3 linked regions of the Arabidopsis thaliana genome follow. The protein of the gene in region 1 interacts with the protein of each later gene in a pairwise test. Each region holds a gene or a part of one and is shown on either strand. Other genes may lie near its edges.

Region 1 (8,008 bases):
ATTTGAAATAGTTTTGGTCGTCCCTCTACATAATCCATTAAACCGAGATTGATACAACACTAAAGAATCTAAAACAGCGGAAAGCAAAACTCAAAGGGGCTTTGTATCCCAAAGATGCAGCATTCCGTATAGCCCAGGCTAGGCCGTGATTTCTGTGCCTTCTACTCTCTCTTTCTCCGAAATGCCTCTGCTTGTCTTAGTCCCTGCAAATGTGCAACAAAACATCACAATCAAACATTAGCCATGAGATTACGACATGGTTACATGGACTGGTAATTTTCAAAGATTTTACAATTGCGCAACTTCTTTATGAATAAAAACCATTAGAATCAAAGTCAAACTTTCTTTCCAAATCACTCCACAGATGTGAACTCAAAGTATTACTCATACACTAGGAATATACGATATCTGATTCCAAAAGAATTAAGACACATGTTACATGCAAGGATACTCAGATGACAACTTTAGCTTTGCTACAATTATATATACCAATAATAACTATTATGCAGCTGTTACGTAAAGGCACACACCACACATCATGACAAGAGAAACAAATAAACAAAATAGTCTGGAAGAAGGTTACATACCAGTACTTAATCAAGCCGTCCCAACCACAAGTTGCGACTTTACTCTGTTCCAGAGGATGCCACTCGGCTCCAATGCATACTCCATTGTGACATTTAAGAGTCCTAAACACTTTGCAGCTCTTCCAGTCCCAAAACCAGCACTTACCCTCACCATCTCCTGACATTACAAACCGTCCATCTGGCGAGAAGTTAACTTGGCATGCATAACCGGCAACAATGTGCCCTGCAAACCTCTTCTTTTTATTCAGCTGAAACCTTTCTCGGGTACTGTAGATCAGAATCTGGTTATCCAAACTCTGTGCAGCAAGCCAGTTTCCATTCGGGTGAACAGAAATGGAAGGCATAGAATGCATATGAGGCTCACTGATATACTTGATAACCACCGGGATCCCAAATTCCCAAACACGGAGAGACTTATCATCGCTCGACGTGACAAATCTTCTGTTATTGTCCACAAATGTGATAGTATTAACTGCCCCCAAGTGCTGATCATACTCTTGCGTAACCTCCCCCGTATTAATATCCCACTGCACAATCTTCTTATCACTCATACCAGCCAACAAAATGTTCTGCTTGTCATCATCCGGATTCAGCTTAACCACATACGGAATCTTCCCAGTGGAGAAAGTCGATATAACTTGGCCAGTTTCCGTGTCCCAATACTTAATGTTCTTATCATACCCAGCAGTCAAGAATTTAGACCCATCATTGGAGAAGCAAATATCCCTCACAGCTTTGGCGTGACCCATGTAAGTCCTCATACATTTACCAGAGTTATACACATCCCAAATCTTAACCTTACAATCCATACCTGCAGAGAGAAGCAAATGTCCTTGCTTTGGGAAGAACCTAATAGCGGAAACACCTTTCGTGTGCCCACTCCATGTATGAACCAAACGTTTTGGAATGTAGCAATGATCATTGTTCGCCTTAGCATCTTTAGGAGCCTCAATCCAAGACCTTCCTTGATAATCTTTCTCCTCTTTGCCATGGAAGGTACTCTTATCCGCATAATGCTCTCCTTTGGTTTCACCTTGTTGTCCCTTCTCCTCCTTCTTCTTGGCATGATCCTCCGCATACTTCTTCTGCTCCTCCGTCAACTCTCCCTGAACCACCTCCTTCTTCCTCGACCACGGACTCTTCCTATTCTTCCTAAGCCAAGCTTCCGTCTCCGGATTCTCAGCTTCCGGCTCAATCTCTTCCTTTTTCTCTTCCCCTTCCCTCTCCTCTTTGCTCCTCTCAATCTTCCTCCGCTTCTGCTCACTCTGAGGAATATTAAAAACCGAAAGACCATCGTTCTTCTTAAACGCCTCAACATCGCCGACGTAGTTCATCCCAGACGGATCCGCCGCGTAACCGCACTTATGAAACGTATGGTACTGCTCTTCAAACCCAAACGATCCAATCGAAGCATCTTCCACAGAACCTAGCTTATGATTCCGCATCCCTTGAGCGATCCCGTCTTTCGCATACGGATGCGCGGGGCCGAACATCGGAGCCCACAGCTGATCATGGGTAGGGTTATAAAAGACGACGTGTTGAGTCGGGTCAATCGGCTTCGATTTCGATTGATTCACGTTAGCCACCGTGAGAGCTAGTGCCGTATCGTCTACCTCCGGCGCCGATGATTTCGCCTTTAACATACGAGGCGGTGAAGATTCCGGCGAGGAAGCAACGGCTTCGTCTTCTTCTTCGTAGGATTGAATCAGATCCATCTCTCACGATTTTGCTCTCTTACCACAAGTGTTTGAGAAACTTTATACTGAGATTTTGCCTCTTTTCTCTTCGACAAGGGTTTCAAAATTCCTAAATCTAAAATAAGGGTTGCAATTTGTGCGATATTTAGATTTTCAAATATAGCCTCTTACTATTTTTTTCTTTTCACATTTACCCCAATAGTGTATTTTATTGACATTTACATCCCACTGTCTTACTCGGTGGTTAAAATTATGCAAATCTGGACCAATCTAAAATCACGCCAAGCCAAACTGAATTAAACCGGGATGAATAAAAACGAAACGACAACGTTTTAAGGTTTCTTATGTTGACGGTCAACATATTTATCATAATCGAACTCAAAAGCAATTACTCATCTCATATTTAAAGAACTAACACATGTGTGAAAAAACACACTAGCGTTAGCGTAGACTTATCATTTGGGATTTCATGCTTCAAAATATATATATCCATAGATGATTTTCCGTACTCTCTCTTCTATCCTTGATGGATCAATGCCAATCCGACTAATGATAGCCTGCAAATATATGTAATAAAAATTTATACGAAAGACATGACACATGCATATACGTGTGTATTATACAAACATATGCGTGTGGATGTGGTACCTGGGCTATGATTGTGTAAGTGGTCCTATCATTCAAGTTCTGAAGATTAGCACTCATTACTTGAGCTCCTTCTTCTTCAAAAATACTCACAAGCTCGTGTAACATTACTCTTTTCATGTTTAGATCCATGATCAGATTCATTTCTATGGTCGAATCCCGCGAACGAATACTGAGTTTGGGTAGAAGAAACGACCCTTCGTAGAGATTCCCGAGTTCTCCTTGTAACAATGTCCTTTTCTTCTCTTTCAAATAATTTACATTCTCTTTCAATTGGATCATGTATGATGTCGCTTGATCTATAAGGTGAGGCACTGGTAACTGTTTAGATCCCAAAAAAAACCCCAAGATAATTACTTTCATTAATCTTTTACATGAATGTGGTTATATTCAATATATATAAATAAACCGTAAAAACCCTAGCTACGTGAATCATTTATTTGTCAATTAGACACCGTACTTAAAAGAGAGCTAATATGGACGGTCATAGAGGGACAACTGCCTATTCAATTAATCAAAATATTATCTCTTTAGAATAAAACGTACATCTTACAGTAATTATGTAGATAATGTTTGTATTGTTGTATATACGCATAAAACACATCTACAATTTAATATAAGATATATATAGAGAGAGAAAGAGAGAGAGGGAGAGTTAGAGAGAAAAAACGGACCTTGCGAGTGGGAGAAACATGAGAAGAAAGTATAGAGAAGAGATGTTTCATGCGCATCCTTCGATCCTTCTCTCTGAGGTTTCGTTGTTCCCTTAACGACGATGAGTTTCCTTCTCCTATTTCTCTTGCTCTCCCCATTCTTTTTGTTTTCTTTTAAGCTTTTATGTACAAGTTTCTCTTTTCAAATCCATCTCTCTTTATATACAGTTAAAGAGATAGAGAGGGCCGGGAGATACAGAGTCACAAATCTCAACTTTGAGAGAAAGAGCTACGTGATTTAGATGAAAGGGATGTTTTGGAAGAAAGTCATGGCTTTTGTGATTGCGTCCGTGAGCTTACACACTAAATTAATAAGATGCATGCATCTTTCCTACCAAGTAAATTTTACTATTTACTTCGGAATTTCCACGTTCTTAAAGATACAAAAGTTTCAAAACAATTAGATATGTTGTTTATCATTAAAAAAAAAATTAGATTTGTTGGTGGGTTGACACATTACTAGGACGCATCATAATTTCGATGTAAGATTTCTAACGTTCAAAGACATAGTTTAGATAGCATCATGCTTACCGTGTGAGATGAGATTCCTAACGTTCAGAGATATGATTCTTCTTCTTTCAGATTACTAACCATGAGTTTAAGTCCTGTGATTTACAGTAGGTTTGGAGAAAATTATTATCAAAAATCATTTCAATGGCGTAAAATAGTCAACAGCCACGGTAGACAAAAATGAATTCCTTACAACAGTACTATATATGTTTCTATCAACAAATAGAAAAGGAAAATTGTTTTGTATACTGATAGAATCGGGACCACTAAATCAAATAGTATCATCATGTTCAATTAATTTGGTGCACGTATTCATTATCCGAGGAAAGTATCATAAGGCGCCATAACCTAAGATTATTCAACAAGCTATCATTATCATAGAAGAAAAGGACACAACACATTCGGCATTCCTTACATAAATTATTAAAGGCCCTCAACTCTCTTTGGCCGTATGGCCGACATCGTTCACCGGATAGGGGATCTACATGGACCGATCGTCTAAACGTTCACCGGAGGTGAATACAAAGACAGAAAATTAAACATGCCTAGTTTTGTTGAGTCTTGGAGTACTCCAGGTAGATGTTGGTCATAACTTTGCCACTGAGCAAACTGACATAAAAAGTAAAAGGAGCCGCAATATGATACTAACACTGTGTATATATCGTCTCGCTGCTTGACCACTTGCTTAGAAACTGAGTAAGGGACAATTATATCCTTATTGCATTTTCCACATGTTATTCTTTTTTTCCTTCTTCAAATATTTGAATTCGTACAAGAAGAGAATAGTCATTTGGTAACTATCATAATTCATAGCCATTGAAAATCCGTGACTAGAAATACAGATTAGCCCAATTTTAAAATGTTAAGCCTATAATTACTTGTAACTAATTCTGTGGCTAGAAAAGGATGATTACTTATAGTTAGAAAATTTGTAGCGAAATTTTTGTTATCGATCTATATATACTGTCCAATTTATATAAGACATTTAGAAAAAAAGATTTGTTTACTAGTTATGTCGTGTATATATACATGTTTTTTAAGTTTTAGTTAACTATATTCACATACAAAATCTAACCATGTGTGATTTTAGGAGAAAACAAAGATGAATGTCCTTGCTATCGCAATATGAAAAACTCCAAAAGTGGATCCAAATGCCTATGCCCTTGAACATGTTTTGAAGATAGTCATCAGATGCATAACATCTATCTATTCTATGTATGCAAATATCAATTACGACTATTTTAGACGGCGCCTGTAATAAAATATTTGAGCTTAAAATGCTCAATGAAAGAAAATTTGAGAGTTCTTGACAATAAAAGTAGATAATATATTTTATATTTAAACATGAGATTCTATAAACGTAATAGAGATTAGGCATAGAAAGAAAAGAGAAAATAAAGAGATTTTGAAGATGATGTGAGAGGCTTTTTCGTTCATATACTTGAGGAAATGGTATTCAGACATTTGATCATTCTCTTTAACTTAAACAACAATAGGGCTATTACACCAATTCACTCTTAAAAATACTCATAATCTCATGTTTAAAGAACTAACACATTTAATTTGTTAAGAAAAGACTTGTGATTTGGGATTCAATAATGCTTCAAAAAATTAATCATGAGATTATATCCCTTAATCTCTCTTCTATCCTTGATGGATCAATCCCGATCCGACATATGATAGCCTGCAAATATTCATTTAGGTGATTATTAATTTATCATATATATATAGTCCTTCAAAAAAAGTTCAAACTATATTTTAATGATATGGAACAAAGAGATGCTGCTAAAAAAAAAAAAAAAAACATGACACATGCATGTACCTGGGCTATGATTGTATAAAAGGTCCTATCATTCAAGTTCTGAAGATTAGCACTCATCACTTGAGCTCCTTCTTCTTCAAAAACACTCACAAGCTTGTGTAACATTACTCCTTTCATGTTTAGATCCATAACCAGATTCATTTCTATGATCGAATCCAGTGAACGAATACTGAGTTTTGGCAGAAGAGACGACCCTTCAGAGCGATTTTTGACTTCTCCTCCTAACATTCTCCTTTTCATCTCATTCAAATAGTTTACCTTCTCTTTCAGTTGGATCATGTATGATACCGCTTGATCTATAAGTTGAGGCACTGGCAACTGTTGGTGCCAATAAAAACACACAACCTAGTTACTTCCATGTCTTTTGTATGAATTTGGTTATAATCGTTATATGTATTAACTAAAATGTAATATACTAGATTTTAACCCGCGGTACACCGCGGGAACAATTGTTTTTTTAAATTAGTATATATAAAAGTTCGTAAATTATATCTATCTATAAAATATATTTATTTTACAGTTTACAACTGTTATTAAGTAATGTCCTTTCAAACCCGTCCCGCCAAACCCGTCCCGTAAAAAAAAACTACAGTACATCGTTGATTTAAATATATAATTAAAATAAATATTTTACGGGATTACAATTGTACTTTAGTTTGTCAAACAATTTTTGTTTTAAATAGTTGCCGAAATCTAGTTTAAATTTTGGAGAAATAAGATTTAGTGAATTGATAAAAAAATGTATTTAAGTGCGTTTTGCTCATTTTAAGGGATTGCAATTGTATTTTGGTTTGCCAAACATTTTTTGTTATAAATAGTTACCGACATTTAGTTCAAATTTTGAAGAAATCTGCGTGATATATGAGATTGTAATATATTTGAAATAGTTTTGAGAACGATGATTTTGTTACGTTTTAATACATGTACATTTTACTAACTGAAAATATGAGATTGATTATTTGTATAACACGGAAAATATGAGATTGATTCTTTATATTACAATGAAAATGAATGATTCAAAACTAAAGATCATAGTGTAATATAGTTTAGCTTAGAAAATAATTAAAACGATTTTATTTATTTATTTAGTTTTCTAAATTTTAGTTTAGATTCAGAAAATAATTGTTTAATTTCCTTAGAAGATGATAAACATATATGGAAGATTTGAATCTCTATATATTTTAAAAATCAATCAATAATGTCAATATAATTAAAGGATAGATTAGAAAAAAGTTTCTTGAATGCTAAATAATTAATTTGTTATTTATAAACAAAATATTAAATGCTGTAAAAACGAAATATTAAATAAATATGGAAAGAAAATTCTACCTTAAAATATTTTGTACTATTAAAACCGATTTTTTTTTTGCAGCAAATTAAAACCGAAAATTAATAAATACTTAAGAGAGATTTTAGGAATGATTTTTTTGAAGTAATGTTAGACTTTTTTTGAAGTAATGGTGGATTTAATATAGAGACATTTTAGGCAATATTTTTGTTAGGTAAATATTTGATTTAAAATGTCGATTGAAAAAAATAAATTCAGTGGCATTGAGTCGTAAATAAGTTCTAAGTCCAGGATTTATTTGTTAAAATGACTGCAAAAATGTATATATAGATATGAATCATTTGTTTTAACTCTACACTACATATAATGGTCCTAGCTGGCTTGTACTAAATACTGAGAACCCTAGCTAAATGCTGCACTTTGATTGATCTGGTTCAAATCAAGATGATTATCCCTTGATCAGTTCTTTGATTGATCTGGTTAAAATCAAGATGTCCATAGGATTTTCGCAACATAGCCCTTGCCTAAGCGTCTAGGCGCTTAGACAAAACCAACACATACATTACATCTACGAAAAATTATGTACTCTGTATATATAAACAATAAAATACATGTAGAGAGAGAGAGACGGACCCTACGAGTGGGAGAAACATGAGAAGAGAGTATGGAGAAGAGATGTTTCATGCGCATTCGTCGTTCTTTCTCTCTGAGGTTTCGTTGTTCCCGTAATGACGATGCGCTTCCTT
Region 2 (6,128 bases), 3.2 Mb from region 1:
ATAGTTTTGTATCCATTTGTGATTTGCGGGTTTCTGTTGCCACCTCCCCACTCTCCTCGCTTTTGTTGGTCTTGGAAAAACCCTGGGATTTTGGGTATCTCTGAGCACGAATTCTACATTCTCATGGCTTTCGAACACAGAAATGAAGACCTAAATTCCTTGGATTCGGAAGAAGATCTGGAGAAAATGGAGTCAGAGGTGGAGCAAATGTCGCGCAAGGTTTCCGAGTACAGGAAAAGCCTACCGAGTAATCTGAGCAATTCTGTGATTTCTTCTCGTAGATCCAATTTTCCCAACATCGATTCTTTGGGCTTTCGCACAACTAGCACAGGTTCGTACGTTTCTTTGCTTATATTTAGTTAGATACCTTCCTTCTCCTTTGGTTTCAGCTGGAATTTTAGTCTCTTTTTCTTTCTAGATGATGTAATAATAGATTGATCCTCTACATTATTCGTGGATCATTCTTGTGAAGACCAAGTTGTTTAGCAGCAGCAGACTTGCCTTTTGATTGTGATGTCGTTTTTTGCATTTAGGTTTGTGTCATGCCATGCGTGTAGAATATTGTGATACTTGCTACTATACCCTCTGGATGATTATGTTCATGAGTTATTACGCTTAATTCTGAGGTGATGATACATATACAAGGCTTTTCCATTACAATAAATCATGTATTTTTGTGGCTTAGAATCGACAAGCATGAGACTATGTGATGATATGTTTAGCTAAGCTGAGAGAAAATGATTGTTTAGCCAATTTTTGTTTACAGATACCATGAGATAAGTGGCCACATTAGGTGACACTAAGATTTCATAGCATTGTAATATACACAAGTCTCTAGTGAACTGCTGTTGTGATAACCAACTCATCAGTTATTTTGTTCCTTGCAAGTTTGGAAGAACCTCTAGTGTCAAGAGATGGAGCACATATAGGTGGAATCGAACAAGAATCTCGAGATAGCCTGATTCAGCTCAAAGAAAGAGTGTACGAGAACATTGCCACAGTGCCTCTAGTTGTAGAGAGAATGCGAGAGAGTAAAGAGAGAATCGACAAGTCCATTTCTTTCAATGGAACTACTATGCACCCGGCTTTCACAAGGCGGAAAGCTAGCTAACTGATCAGTTTCTACTTCTCCCTATTGGCTTTACCACTCAAAGAAAGCTAATGCATAGGAGGAGATATGGCTGGTATTTCTTTCTACTATATTAGTATCAACCAACATCTCTCGCATTTAGAATAAGAGTATACCATAACCTCTGTTTTGATTGTGTTCTACATTGAAACAGGTCTTTCTCTGATTTTAATATGGACTCTTATAGAATCTTGGGCTGATTCTACACCCTGTATGTATATGTAAGAATCACATAATCAGATGGTTGCACAATTGTCAAGAACACCCAAATCCAAGCTTGCGATTTAGCAATCTCACCCGTGTAAGAAACTTAAAACCATAAAACCAATTGATATAAGAGCTTTTCTAGCAAAAACTTAAAAATATAATTAACACCGTCGAAAATGGTGGAGGCTACTAGAGCGAGATATAAACTTTATCACCGTTTAATCGTGTGGGATTTTGAAATGATATGAACCTATTGCAAAAAGACAAAAAAAAAATATAAACGGAGGAACTAGGCAGTGGGACCGGAGATCCACCGACCGGAAACGAAGAATCCATAGTAAGATAGAGCCCAGGGGTTCGGTCGTATCGGACCGGTCGGATTTGGATTCTAACGACAAGTGAGTGGACCCCCAGAAACGACAGACGTAAGCAATGACAACATCAAACTCATCGCCACGTCAGCAACGGAGTTCTACTTGCGAAACGTGTCCCGGCAGCGTCATCCACCCACGTGTGTTCTAGAAGCTCTTCTCCTCCTCCGTATCTCGACACGTGTCCACTCCCTCTCCTTATATAATTGACTTTTCTCTCATTCTTTCCAAGTTTCAAAAACGCCAAGTTTCAGAGGTAGAGAGAGAGATACTACAATTGATTAGGATAGGATCAGGATCATCCTCAACAACCTCCTCCTAATTCCTCCTCCATTCATAGTAACAATAATATTAAGAAAGAGGGTAAACTATGTCAGAATTATTACAGTTGCCTCCAGGTTTCCGATTTCACCCTACCGATGAAGAGCTTGTCATGCACTATCTCTGCCGCAAATGTGCCTCTCAGTCCATCGCCGTTCCGATCATCGCTGAGATCGATCTCTACAAATACGATCCATGGGAGCTTCCTGGTGACATACTAGCTCTCTTTCTCTTTAATCTTTGCCGGATTCTAAATCTGAGATTGTTCTCTGCTGACTCAAATTCAATTTTACAGGTTTAGCCTTGTATGGTGAGAAGGAATGGTACTTCTTCTCTCCCAGGGACAGAAAATATCCCAACGGTTCGCGTCCTAACCGGTCCGCTGGTTCTGGTTACTGGAAAGCTACCGGAGCTGATAAACCGATCGGACTACCTAAACCGGTCGGAATTAAGAAAGCTCTTGTTTTCTACGCCGGCAAAGCTCCAAAGGGAGAGAAAACCAATTGGATCATGCACGAGTACCGTCTCGCCGACGTTGACCGGTCCGTTCGCAAGAAGAAGAATAGTCTCAGGGTATGGAATCAGATCTGATTCACATCTTTGTTTCAATCTCTTGTTCTGTTTCTGGTAAATTGAATCAACGGTGTTGATTTTTGCCCAGCTGGATGATTGGGTTCTCTGCCGGATTTACAACAAAAAAGGAGCTACCGAGAGGCGGGGACCACCGCCTCCGGTTGTTTACGGCGACGAAATCATGGAGGAGAAGCCGAAGGTGACGGAGATGGTTATGCCTCCGCCGCCGCAACAGACAAGTGAGTTCGCGTATTTCGACACGTCGGATTCGGTGCCGAAGCTGCATACTACGGATTCGAGTTGCTCGGAGCAGGTGGTGTCGCCGGAGTTCACGAGCGAGGTTCAGAGCGAGCCCAAGTGGAAAGATTGGTCGGCCGTAAGTAATGACAATAACAATACCCTTGATTTTGGGTTTAATTACATTGATGCCACCGTGGATAACGCGTTTGGAGGAGGAGGGAGTAGTAATCAGATGTTTCCGCTACAGGATATGTTCATGTACATGCAGAAGCCTTACTAGAAGGGAATTCCTTTCCTGCCGCCGAAACGCAACGCAAAACGACCCTCGTTTTTGCGTTTATGGCAACACGAGACCGTTTTATATGGTCAATGAGTGTGCCGATTCGGCCATTAGATTTCTGTTCAGTCTTCGTTTATTCTATAGACCGTCCGATTTCAGATCATCCCTAATCGGACGGTGGTCGTTGGATGTATCAGTAGTGTATTACTGTGTTAGGTAGAAGAAAATCCACTTGTTCTTAAATTGGCATAAAAGTCAGAAGCTAATATTTATATGTGCCGCAATCAATTTAATATTTTCTGTCTACTTAGGAGTAATGGATACAAACTAGCGTATTGGTTCTATATTTATTTATCAGCTTTCACAGTTGATCTGACTTACATTTATTGTGAACATATCTAACAAGTGTAGAGGAGTAATGGATACAAGCTAGAGTACAGTGTGTTAGCAGAAACGCTATAAGATGAAGTCTGATGTTGAGCTACATGTTACTGTCCATTGTCACTTGTCGGACTTCTTTGATGGAAAGATGAACTCTTTCACGGAATCTTGCGCTGAAAGTATCCTCTGTCTGATCTGCATATGCAAAATGTCATAGATAATATAGAGTTAATTGGCTACAAAACCCCATCGAACCATAAGAAATTGATTTGGTGTTCAAGAGTAAATGAGTAATCAGTACTCTCAACATAGAGAGAGTAACAACAGACTAAAAACTCAGCAAAACAAAGTAGTCACTACTCATTCGTTGAAGATCCAGGCAAACGCAACAAAGCTGAGCATAGAAGTCAGGAACATTCATATCTCATTCAAAGTTTTCTAAGATCAAAATTCAACCCTAGCAACTAACAACTAATAAAGAGATCTAACCAATATCAATTGAAACCAAGTGATTGTAGGCTGTAGCAAATATCTGCGATTCGAAGCGATGATGATCGAGAAGGTTGACGGTTCGATTTATTAAACACAAACAAAAAAAAAAGAGAGAGAGAGAGAGAGAGAGAGAGAGAGAGAGAGAGAGAGAGAGAGAGAGAGAGAGAGAGAGAGAGAGAGAGAGAGAGAGAGAGAGAGAGAGAGAGAGAGAGAGAGAGAGAGAGAGAAACTCACAGGATCAAGAGCGTTGGGCTCTGGACCGTAATCAGCGGTTAAGAGGAAGTACGATACAACAGCAGTCGCCACCACACTGGTTACCTTCACCACCTTTTCAATTTGGGGATTCATCGATGTTTTCGTTCCCAGAAAGAACAATTCCGGTGATTTTGGTTTTTTTCAAGTGACACAATGATGATGTTATACGTTTTTTTATTGGTAAAACGACACACAATCCGATTTGTGTAAGAAAATTCATGCCGTTTTCGTTCACTTCAAATATGGGCCCAGAAAGGCCCAAACATCTCATCAAGTCCTCACGGCGTCGTTTTTAAGATCCCCGCTGCGTTGATTTATGGCGATCTCTTTCGGCGGTTGAAAACCTTTGAAAATTGAAAATGGAGAAATCGACCTCTCCGGCGACTCGAGTCACCGAACCTCCTCCTGCTGCTACTTCATCTCTTCCAGCACAAGCTCCTCCGCTTCCTACATCTGCAGATCAGAGATCAGCTGAGTTACCTTCGCCTGCTCAGCCAGCTCAGATGACTGCGCCTCCGTCGACAGTTACCACAGATCCGTCGTCCAGGGGAAGAAAGCGAGCGCTGGAAGCGAATCTTCAGATCGAGAGCTCCAACTACTACAAGATGCGTCTCCTTGTCAAAGATCTTCGCCCTCACGTTCTCGAGGTTGGACCATAATTGTGATAAAAACATTCAAACTCTTTGTTTGGGAAAGGGTTTATACATAACAACTTGGATTTTGTGGTGTGCTACAGGTTTTACGAACTCCAGACTTGAGGAACTCTAAGGCAGTTATCGAGATTCAAGAGAGTGAGAAGCTCTTACACTCTCTTCTTTTGTTATCTCAATTTTCACTTAGCTCAACAAAAGGCCCAACTTGTTTGATTCTGTGTCCCTTGAAATGATGATGTTTGCAGAGATGAAGCTTATGCTTCAACTGTACGAAGAGATGATTGGAGAGTCTCCCAAACGTGAGAAAACAGCTAAGAGCGACTCTTTATCCAACGGAAAGGCGACTACTACTACTACTACTACTACTAGTGTACTGAGATCATCTGAAACTGAGAAGCACAGCTCTGATGGAGATGGCGACAAGGTGGTTGGAGGGTCGGCATTTGGCTGGAACTTCATAACCTCTGGAGGGCCAGGCACTGAACCTGTTTATTCTGGAATGTCAAAGGAAGAATACAGAAGCTCTCACCCAATTATGCAAGTGGAGGCAGAGCTTGAGTTGCCCAACACATTCTAAGCTTTGTTAGTGGTGTTTGTATAATATTATTCACTTTGGTATCCGTTCATCCCAATGTTTTATATGTATCAACTGAAACAATGGATTAGCTTCTACCCATGAAGCCTTAATTAGTACACAATATGCTTAACATCTAAACCTTTTTTTTTACACAATATGCTTAATGAGACAGCACATTACCTTTGGATTGTTAATCAAAGCTTCTTCATCTTCTACCAAAACCCAAAATAATAAGTCTTTAGTTCTGTGTGGAAGCTGAAATCTTTCTGGCTTCAAGAATGGATCCTTCGGTAAGTGCGATTTGAGATTCCTTCTCCATTCCCAGGACAGAAAGAGCAGCAGACTGGAGATACAATGCAACATACCAAACAGGAGAAATGCCTTGAGCCTTCATTGCATCATCTAAAGCTTCTTTCGCCATGTTACTCATTAGGTAACTTTGACTTCGCCGCACCAAGACTGTTGCAGAGATCATTCCCAAATCAAGAAACTGGGACAATTTTTATAGACAGGGCATCATCAACTATGGAGGAAGGTCTTGTTACGGATTCAAGTGTGAAAGAAAGACATACCTGCGTGTAAAACTCAATGGCTTCACTAAAGTCTTTTCTTCTAAATGCAATATCACCTTTTTTCTTCGAGTTTATAG
Region 3 (6,288 bases), on another chromosome or scaffold:
ATCTTGAACCCATAAGTTTACTGGATAATGACCTTCCACCAAATCTTGAAACCTCAGCTGTTGTTGTGAGAGAACAGTTTCCAGTGGAAGAAGAAGAAGAAGAAGAAGTCGAAAAAGTTGGAGGCTGGGGCATGAAGTTTCTCAAGAAAATTCCCTTAGCTCGAACCAAGGATGCTTCTAAATGTTCTAAGCATTCCACAAGCATAGATGTTGTGATTCCTTTAGGGATTCACGGAGGGCCGAGAAATAGAAACGGTGGTCCTTCGAGCTTGATTCAGAGATGGAAATCCGGTGGATGCTGTGATTGCTCTGGATGGGACTTGGGTTGCCCCTTAACCGTCCTTAAAGGCCAAGCGCGAAAAGACCAAAGTGAAGGCCAATGCAATCTTTTTGAGCTTTTCACAGAGGTAGCATTCAAGATCCAGTTACCACTTCCTTAACCATACATCATAGATTTCAAAAAATGGAAACTTTCTTGCATTCAAGATAACTCATCAACTAAAAAATCAGTCTTGGTCATATTGACTCTGAAATTCGATTGATTCGTTGTGTGTTTTCGTTTCAGGGATTGATGCAGGGAAGTCCTGGACTAAGGATCATGAATGTTCGAGATGGTCTCTACTTTGTCCAGTCTCAAGCAAAGATATCAGTTTTGCAATCTTTTTCAATTGCTTTAGCATACATTCATAGCCAAAGCCAGAGACTCCGGCCATGGTCGTCAAAGAAGTGTACAGAAGCTTAACTAGCAAAAGAAAGGATTGCACAAAGTAAGATGGGCAAAACTCAGCCTTCATAGTTTTTAGTTGGGTTCTTGAGTTAACAATATCTACAAATTAGTAGATATTATTTTTATTTTTTTATTTTTTGGCTTTCTGTTTAAATCTATAGAAAGTATATCATTGTCTCTTTACTGGAATCATATGTGGGCTTTGGTATTGTTTTTCAAAGAGTTGTGTAAAATGTAAATTCTGACTTTTGATTTTCACCTTCATGATTTTTTTTTTTTTTGCTAAATTTGTTAATATCATTAGAATGAACAATGTGATTTTACAGAGCAAAACCAAACCAAAGCAATCTTGGCAAAAAAGTAAAACAAGATTACAATAGAGTTACGTAAGATTTGGGTGGATTAACGGATCCAAAGAAGCATTAACGACCGCCAACGCGCCCGGTGCCTTCTCGAGGTGATGATGTTTCGAATCTCGCGGTCAATGAACTTGAAGATGAGGGCCGGAGCAAGACGCTGAAGATTGTGAAGCAGATTATTTCGCTGCCTCCAAATATTGTAGACCACATGATTTCGCTGCCTCCAAATTTTCACCTTCATGATATTCTGGTTTTGTAAGAGTTTCTTCTGCACATAATTTTCGACTTTATAACTCATTTTTATGACCTATTAATAGTCACCTCTGAGCAATTGATTTTCACAAAATCAGAAACTGGAAAAATCTAAGCAAAATCTCTTAGAAACTGGAAATATGTCTGAAGCTCACAAAAGATTGTCGTCTCTACTTAAAACACTCAAAACACCAACTATTTCGCGTTTCGTTGAAGACAGATACATAACCAGCAAAAGTGATAAATGATCTTCAGACAATGGCGTTAGCAGCACTAGCAATCCTTGGCCAGAGATCCGCACACTCTTTCCCAATAGGTCCAGTAATTGCAGAACCTGAAAACCAAAACAAACCACCAACATGTTTCAGAAAACAATGTACTGCCAAGATATGTTTGACAAAGAACTAATGGAATAAACAAACTAATACCTTTCATTTCTCCCTTAGGGTTCACAATCACTCCAGCATTATCTACGATCCAAGAACCGAATCAGTACCAATCTCATGATCATAAACTTCAACTCGAGAAATTGTTGAGGTATGCAAAATTACCTTCAAAGTACATGAAAACACCGTCCTTTCGGCGCCATGGCTTACGTTGCCTAACAATCACAGCAGGAAGAACCTTTTTCCTGAGGTCTGGTTTACCTTTCTTGACAGTGGCCATAACCATGTCACCAACACAAGCAGAAGGTAACCGATTGAGACGACCTTTGATTCCTTTAACAGAGATGATGTAAAGGTTCTTAGCACCAGTGTTGTCTGCACAGTTCACTGTGGCTGCAACGGGCAGACCAAGTGACATCCTGAATTTGTTACCAGACGTTCCTCCACGTCCTAATCAAATCAAACAACAAAACACAAGCACCATTAGAACAATGCTCAAAAACATTTACCTTTTCTGTTTTCAATAACATCAAGTCTCAAATTCAATATTTTTGATATCAAATGTTGTTAATGAGCTGTCTAGATGAATACATCAGATCATATTACTTGGAATTGAAGAAATCGAGATCAAAGGTTCAAACTTTCGAGCATTCTATACTGAGAGTAGTAGATTGATTTCAATTATTATTAAATCTAACAGCCATGGAAGCTTCAAAAACAAATTATACTAAATTGCAACAGCTACGAAAGAAGAAGGCTTGGAATCGAAAAAGACATACCTCGCTTCGACATTTTCGACGGCTCAAGCTCTAGGGCTTCTGATGTTTGGCGTCTGATCGAAGTAGAAAAATGAAGGAGAAGAAAGGATTAGGGTTTAAACCTATGGAAAAGGCCTTTTAGGCCCATGATAGCCCATGAACCATTTTAATCATGAAATGAACAATACCAAATTCTTCTTATTAGTCTTTTTTTTTTTTTTGTAACATCTTCTCTTATTTATATAACTTTGAAACATAGTTTACAAACACATTAATTATACAAATCCCCAAACTGAATAACAAGACGAAAGAAGCTAAATTACACAATGCTTTTCTTCAAAAAGCTTTATTCGCTAACCAAACACACACATTCTTAGTCTTGTTTGCGAGAATTGGCCCTCTCTTTGGCAATTTGTTCAAATAAACTTCCATCAAAGCAACCTCTCACAGCTTCTTTAGATAGGAAACCATCTTCGTCCTTAGCAAGAATATAGAGTAGTATCCATTCAACTTTGTTTGAAAGCCTGCCATAACCAACACAACAAATTTAGCAGATTTCGTTAGGATTTAGTGTTAACTTATTACCGTGTATGTAAAATCAACTAATAAATTTCATTCAAAAAAATCAACTAATAACCAATAATGTTTTTAGTACTAACCATCCAAAAGGATCGATTGCCATTCGATTTCCCTCGGTTACATTCCAAACCTCTTTAAATGATAACTTATCTTTAACCGTTAGCGCGTATTTGCTAAATATGTTCTCGAGGTTAACTGGGACATACCTATAAACAATCGCAATTTTACAAAATTGAGTATCATGAAAATTCTATTTAAAATTATTGGATATTATATTTTACATATATGTTAATGTTACCTTCCTTCGGTGTCATAGGTGCTCGAATCACTCCCATGCTTGGCTTTGTGTATGTTGTCGATATAAACCGGCAATAATGGTGATGGCACCCAACTCTTTTTACATAAAATTGATCACAACATAAATTAAAATCACAAAATAATAATAAAATTCAAATTAAATTCGAAGGGTCTCTGGATTATTTTCCATACCGGAAGTGTAACGTAGCTGAACGCTAAGTTTATGAGTAAGGTCCAAAAGATAGAGGAAATTGGGTTGAAACCAAGGTCACGAAATCCTGCAATTTTTATACAATTATTTGAATTTTTTTTTTTTCTGAAGATTGAAGTCTTTGAAGAGACTATAACAAGTAATAATTACCCTTATAAGTCTCCCAAGGATAGACGATTCCATCGTCGTTTTGGTCGAAGAAAGCAACATGTTGTTGCATAACACTCATTCCTTTGCTATCGTGACCTTCTGTTCCATTCGGATGCTCTGTATCTGGAGCTGCTAATGCTCTTGCCATGTCTGTTTTTCATTTTTGTACGTTAGATTATTATGTATCTTTTTCAAGAAAATTACATTTTTTCTTTAAGTTATTGTGACTTGTGTTGAACACTACAAATCTTGAAAGGTACACTTAATTTGAAACATGTTCATGTCCTCACCATAACTTTTAAAAATGGATAATATACGATTTGTCATGTTAATAGTTGGATGTTTTTGTAGTTTCATTTAACGTAACCACTTAATTTCCCGCTTGTTACACATTAAAATCATAAATTTGGACATTCACACTTACATGGTTTTGGTAATGTTTCCTCCAAATCGTTCCGTACTTTTCGCTGACTGGTGACCGGAGCTAACGGTGCCGTCGTGGCCAAAGCCTCTGCCTCTCCTGCCATTCTCTCTCTCTTACTCTTTTACAATCTCGCTGTCTTGTGTAATTGTTAATAATTGATAATGCTCTCTGTTTCTTCTTATGCAAAAGACGTACACATTGATGTTTTGGTGTTCGTGATCCTTTATAAGTAAAACGATATAACAAGGATGATGTGAATAGGGACACGTGTCAGGAAGTAGTGGTGTAAACATTTAAAAGAAAACGAAGACGACAAGCAATATGATCACATATAATATGGTCCATCCACGTGGTTATTTTCAATTTGCTAAAATGTAATTGTACTTTTGTTCACGAGGAGGACGGTGGAAAAAACCAACGTGCTTATTCTATGAGTTTAGGAAGAGACTCAAAAGATAGCATATGCGAGCAAAACATGATTGACTGGGAGCCCATAACATCTCAGAATGATCCATCCTCTTTCATTTTGTACATAACACTCCCATATTATATGAAACCGTAGTTGTTTGCAAGAACTGATTCATCCTAATTCTAATTAGCACATATATACTTAACTATGAGTATCAACAAACCGACCGGTTGAATACATATTAATTATGTAGACATGTAGTGATGATCAATTGATCATATACCCTAATTTGAACTTTTTTGCTCGTTATGATTTAGGAGCTAACGTTGCCGACGTGCTCAATGTGTGAAGTTTTAGGATTGAAATTTATTGATTACAAAAGAAAAAAAAAGGACGAGTACTGTGACCACAATATGTGGTCACATGCACGTGGCTGGAACCATTTGCTGATTTGCGTGTGCGGTGGAAATTAAAAAGCGGGATTAAGAGATACCAATAGATTGATGATTTCGTATAAGTGATAAGCAAAAATAATAAAATCATAACTTAACTAAAGTATTTAAATTACAAAACCTACAAACATTTATGTATTACCATTTTTTGGCCGTATCTCAGTGTGTTGATTGGTTACATTTTTTTTTTTATCACATGATGATTGTATACATTGAAAAGTAAAAAGAGTGAATGGTACTTGTACAAAGCTCTTACGTAACATGCTGCATTCAATGCCAACTTTTGATTAGGTTTATTTTTGGTTTACCAAATTATATCCATAAGTTTATCTGATAACGTTTTTTTTTGTTGTCAAGATATTCATTAACGTATAATATTGCTCCCCGAATTCAATTTTAAAGCATGTTGACAAAGAAAAAAAACAACAACACCGAGCCTCTTTCTTGAGACTTTCCAAGTTAAGTGATTACTTAGTCCAATTTTGTGTATGATTTATCTGATGGTTTCGAAGAGAATTTGGGGAGAGATATCCACCGCTGATTGAATCGAAACCGAGCACAACCGTTGATTTTGATCCGGAACTTGCTTATCTTCACTCTCCTTGTCATCTCCTTGCATCTTTGTTTCATCATCAATTTACCTTTTGGTACCTTCACAAACTCCTTTACGTATTTGCATCTTCCGTTTTCTATATAGAAATTAGAGAATGGAAAAGAAAAAATGATAATATAACTTTTTTATATATACAAACCTAAGTAAGGTTAAAGGTAACAAAAAAAAAGGATACCATTTTGAGCAGCTTCTTCTTCTAGGCTTGTGTTATTTAGCAGCTACGTATATAATGTAAATTTACAAACATACGTTATTTTGTTTATGAAATGTCAACTATTGTTGTAGATTCGTGTGTGTACGTAATATATGATAAAAATACCTTAACTAAAGTTTCCATTCTTTTTCTCATCCGTCTCTGTATGTACCCTCTCGAGCACTATTTAAACAATACGAGGTTGAAAATTTTCAATTACAAGAACACAAAATCTATTATATTTTATTTGAAAAACTAGAACTAATGTACCTTAATATGGTACTTAGCGCATGCGTAGAAATTTAGCAAGTTCCAAACCGTTTTGTCCAGTCTCTTTCCTTCAATGTGCCGTGAAGTAATATCTGCAATGAGAATTGTTTGAACTTTGACATTTAAGAATACTAATTAAAGATGTTGGATTAAGTTTTATAAACAGATAAAATGACACAAAACGTACCAAATGATACAAAACCAGAAT

What was found. The genes of interacting proteins can lie anywhere in the genome.
Region 2: the proteins of AT1G10585 (region 1) and ATAF1 interact in a two-hybrid assay, tested with the Arabidopsis thaliana proteins (one large-scale study listed by BioGRID).
Region 3: the proteins of AT1G10585 (region 1) and RD20 interact in a two-hybrid assay, tested with the Arabidopsis thaliana proteins (one large-scale study listed by BioGRID).

Annotation. Positions count from the first base shown.
Region 1 is NC_003070.9:3,491,364-3,499,371, forward strand, and holds AT1G10585 (basic helix-loop-helix (bHLH) DNA-binding superfamily protein), read right to left. Parts: upstream 3,882-8,008; 5' UTR 3,742-3,881; coding exon 3,604-3,741; intron 3,322-3,603; exon of another isoform or gene 3,293-3,321; coding exon of another isoform or gene 3,251-3,292; coding exon 2,933-3,250; intron 2,842-2,932; coding exon 2,752-2,841; 3' UTR 2,407-2,751; downstream 1-2,406. Other genes in the region: AT1G10580 (Transducin/WD40 repeat-like superfamily protein), read right to left, coding at 197-203, 588-2,302; AT1G10586 (basic helix-loop-helix (bHLH) DNA-binding superfamily protein), read right to left, coding at 5,768-5,836, 5,975-6,292, 7,896-8,008.
Region 2 is NC_003070.9:266,394-272,521, forward strand, and holds ATAF1 (NAC (No Apical Meristem) domain transcriptional regulator superfamily protein), read left to right. Parts: upstream 1-1,599; 5' UTR 1,600-2,077; coding exon 2,078-2,237; intron 2,238-2,323; coding exon 2,324-2,601; intron 2,602-2,689; coding exon 2,690-3,121; 3' UTR 3,122-3,426; downstream 3,427-6,128. Other genes in the region: AT1G01715 (uncharacterized protein), read left to right, coding at 124-331, 900-1,111; AT1G01725 (adenylosuccinate synthetase), read right to left, coding at 3,623-3,697, 4,229-4,342; AT1G01730 (uncharacterized protein), read left to right, coding at 4,609-4,896, 4,986-5,040, 5,148-5,479; BSK4 (kinase with tetratricopeptide repeat domain-containing protein), read right to left, coding at 5,718-5,969, 6,052-6,128.
Region 3 is NC_003071.7:14,142,129-14,148,416, forward strand, and holds RD20 (Caleosin-related family protein), read right to left. Parts: upstream 4,428-6,288; 5' UTR 4,247-4,427; coding exon 4,144-4,246; intron 3,870-4,143; coding exon 3,720-3,869; intron 3,637-3,719; coding exon 3,551-3,636; intron 3,455-3,550; coding exon 3,360-3,454; intron 3,268-3,359; coding exon 3,142-3,267; intron 3,007-3,141; coding exon 2,856-3,006; 3' UTR 2,703-2,855; downstream 1-2,702. Other genes in the region: AT2G33360 (cadherin EGF LAG seven-pass G-type receptor, putative (DUF3527)), read left to right, coding at 1-407, 566-742; AT2G33370 (Ribosomal protein L14p/L23e family protein), read right to left, coding at 1,590-1,672, 1,767-1,808, 1,890-2,174, 2,504-2,516; arpc2b (actin-related protein C2B), read right to left, coding at 5,476-5,693, 5,793-5,835, 5,937-5,993, 6,081-6,172, 6,268-6,288. UniProt on the Arabidopsis thaliana protein: Probable calcium-binding peroxygenase. May be involved in the degradation of storage lipid in oil bodies, in abiotic stress-related signaling pathway and in drought tolerance through stomatal control under water deficit conditions.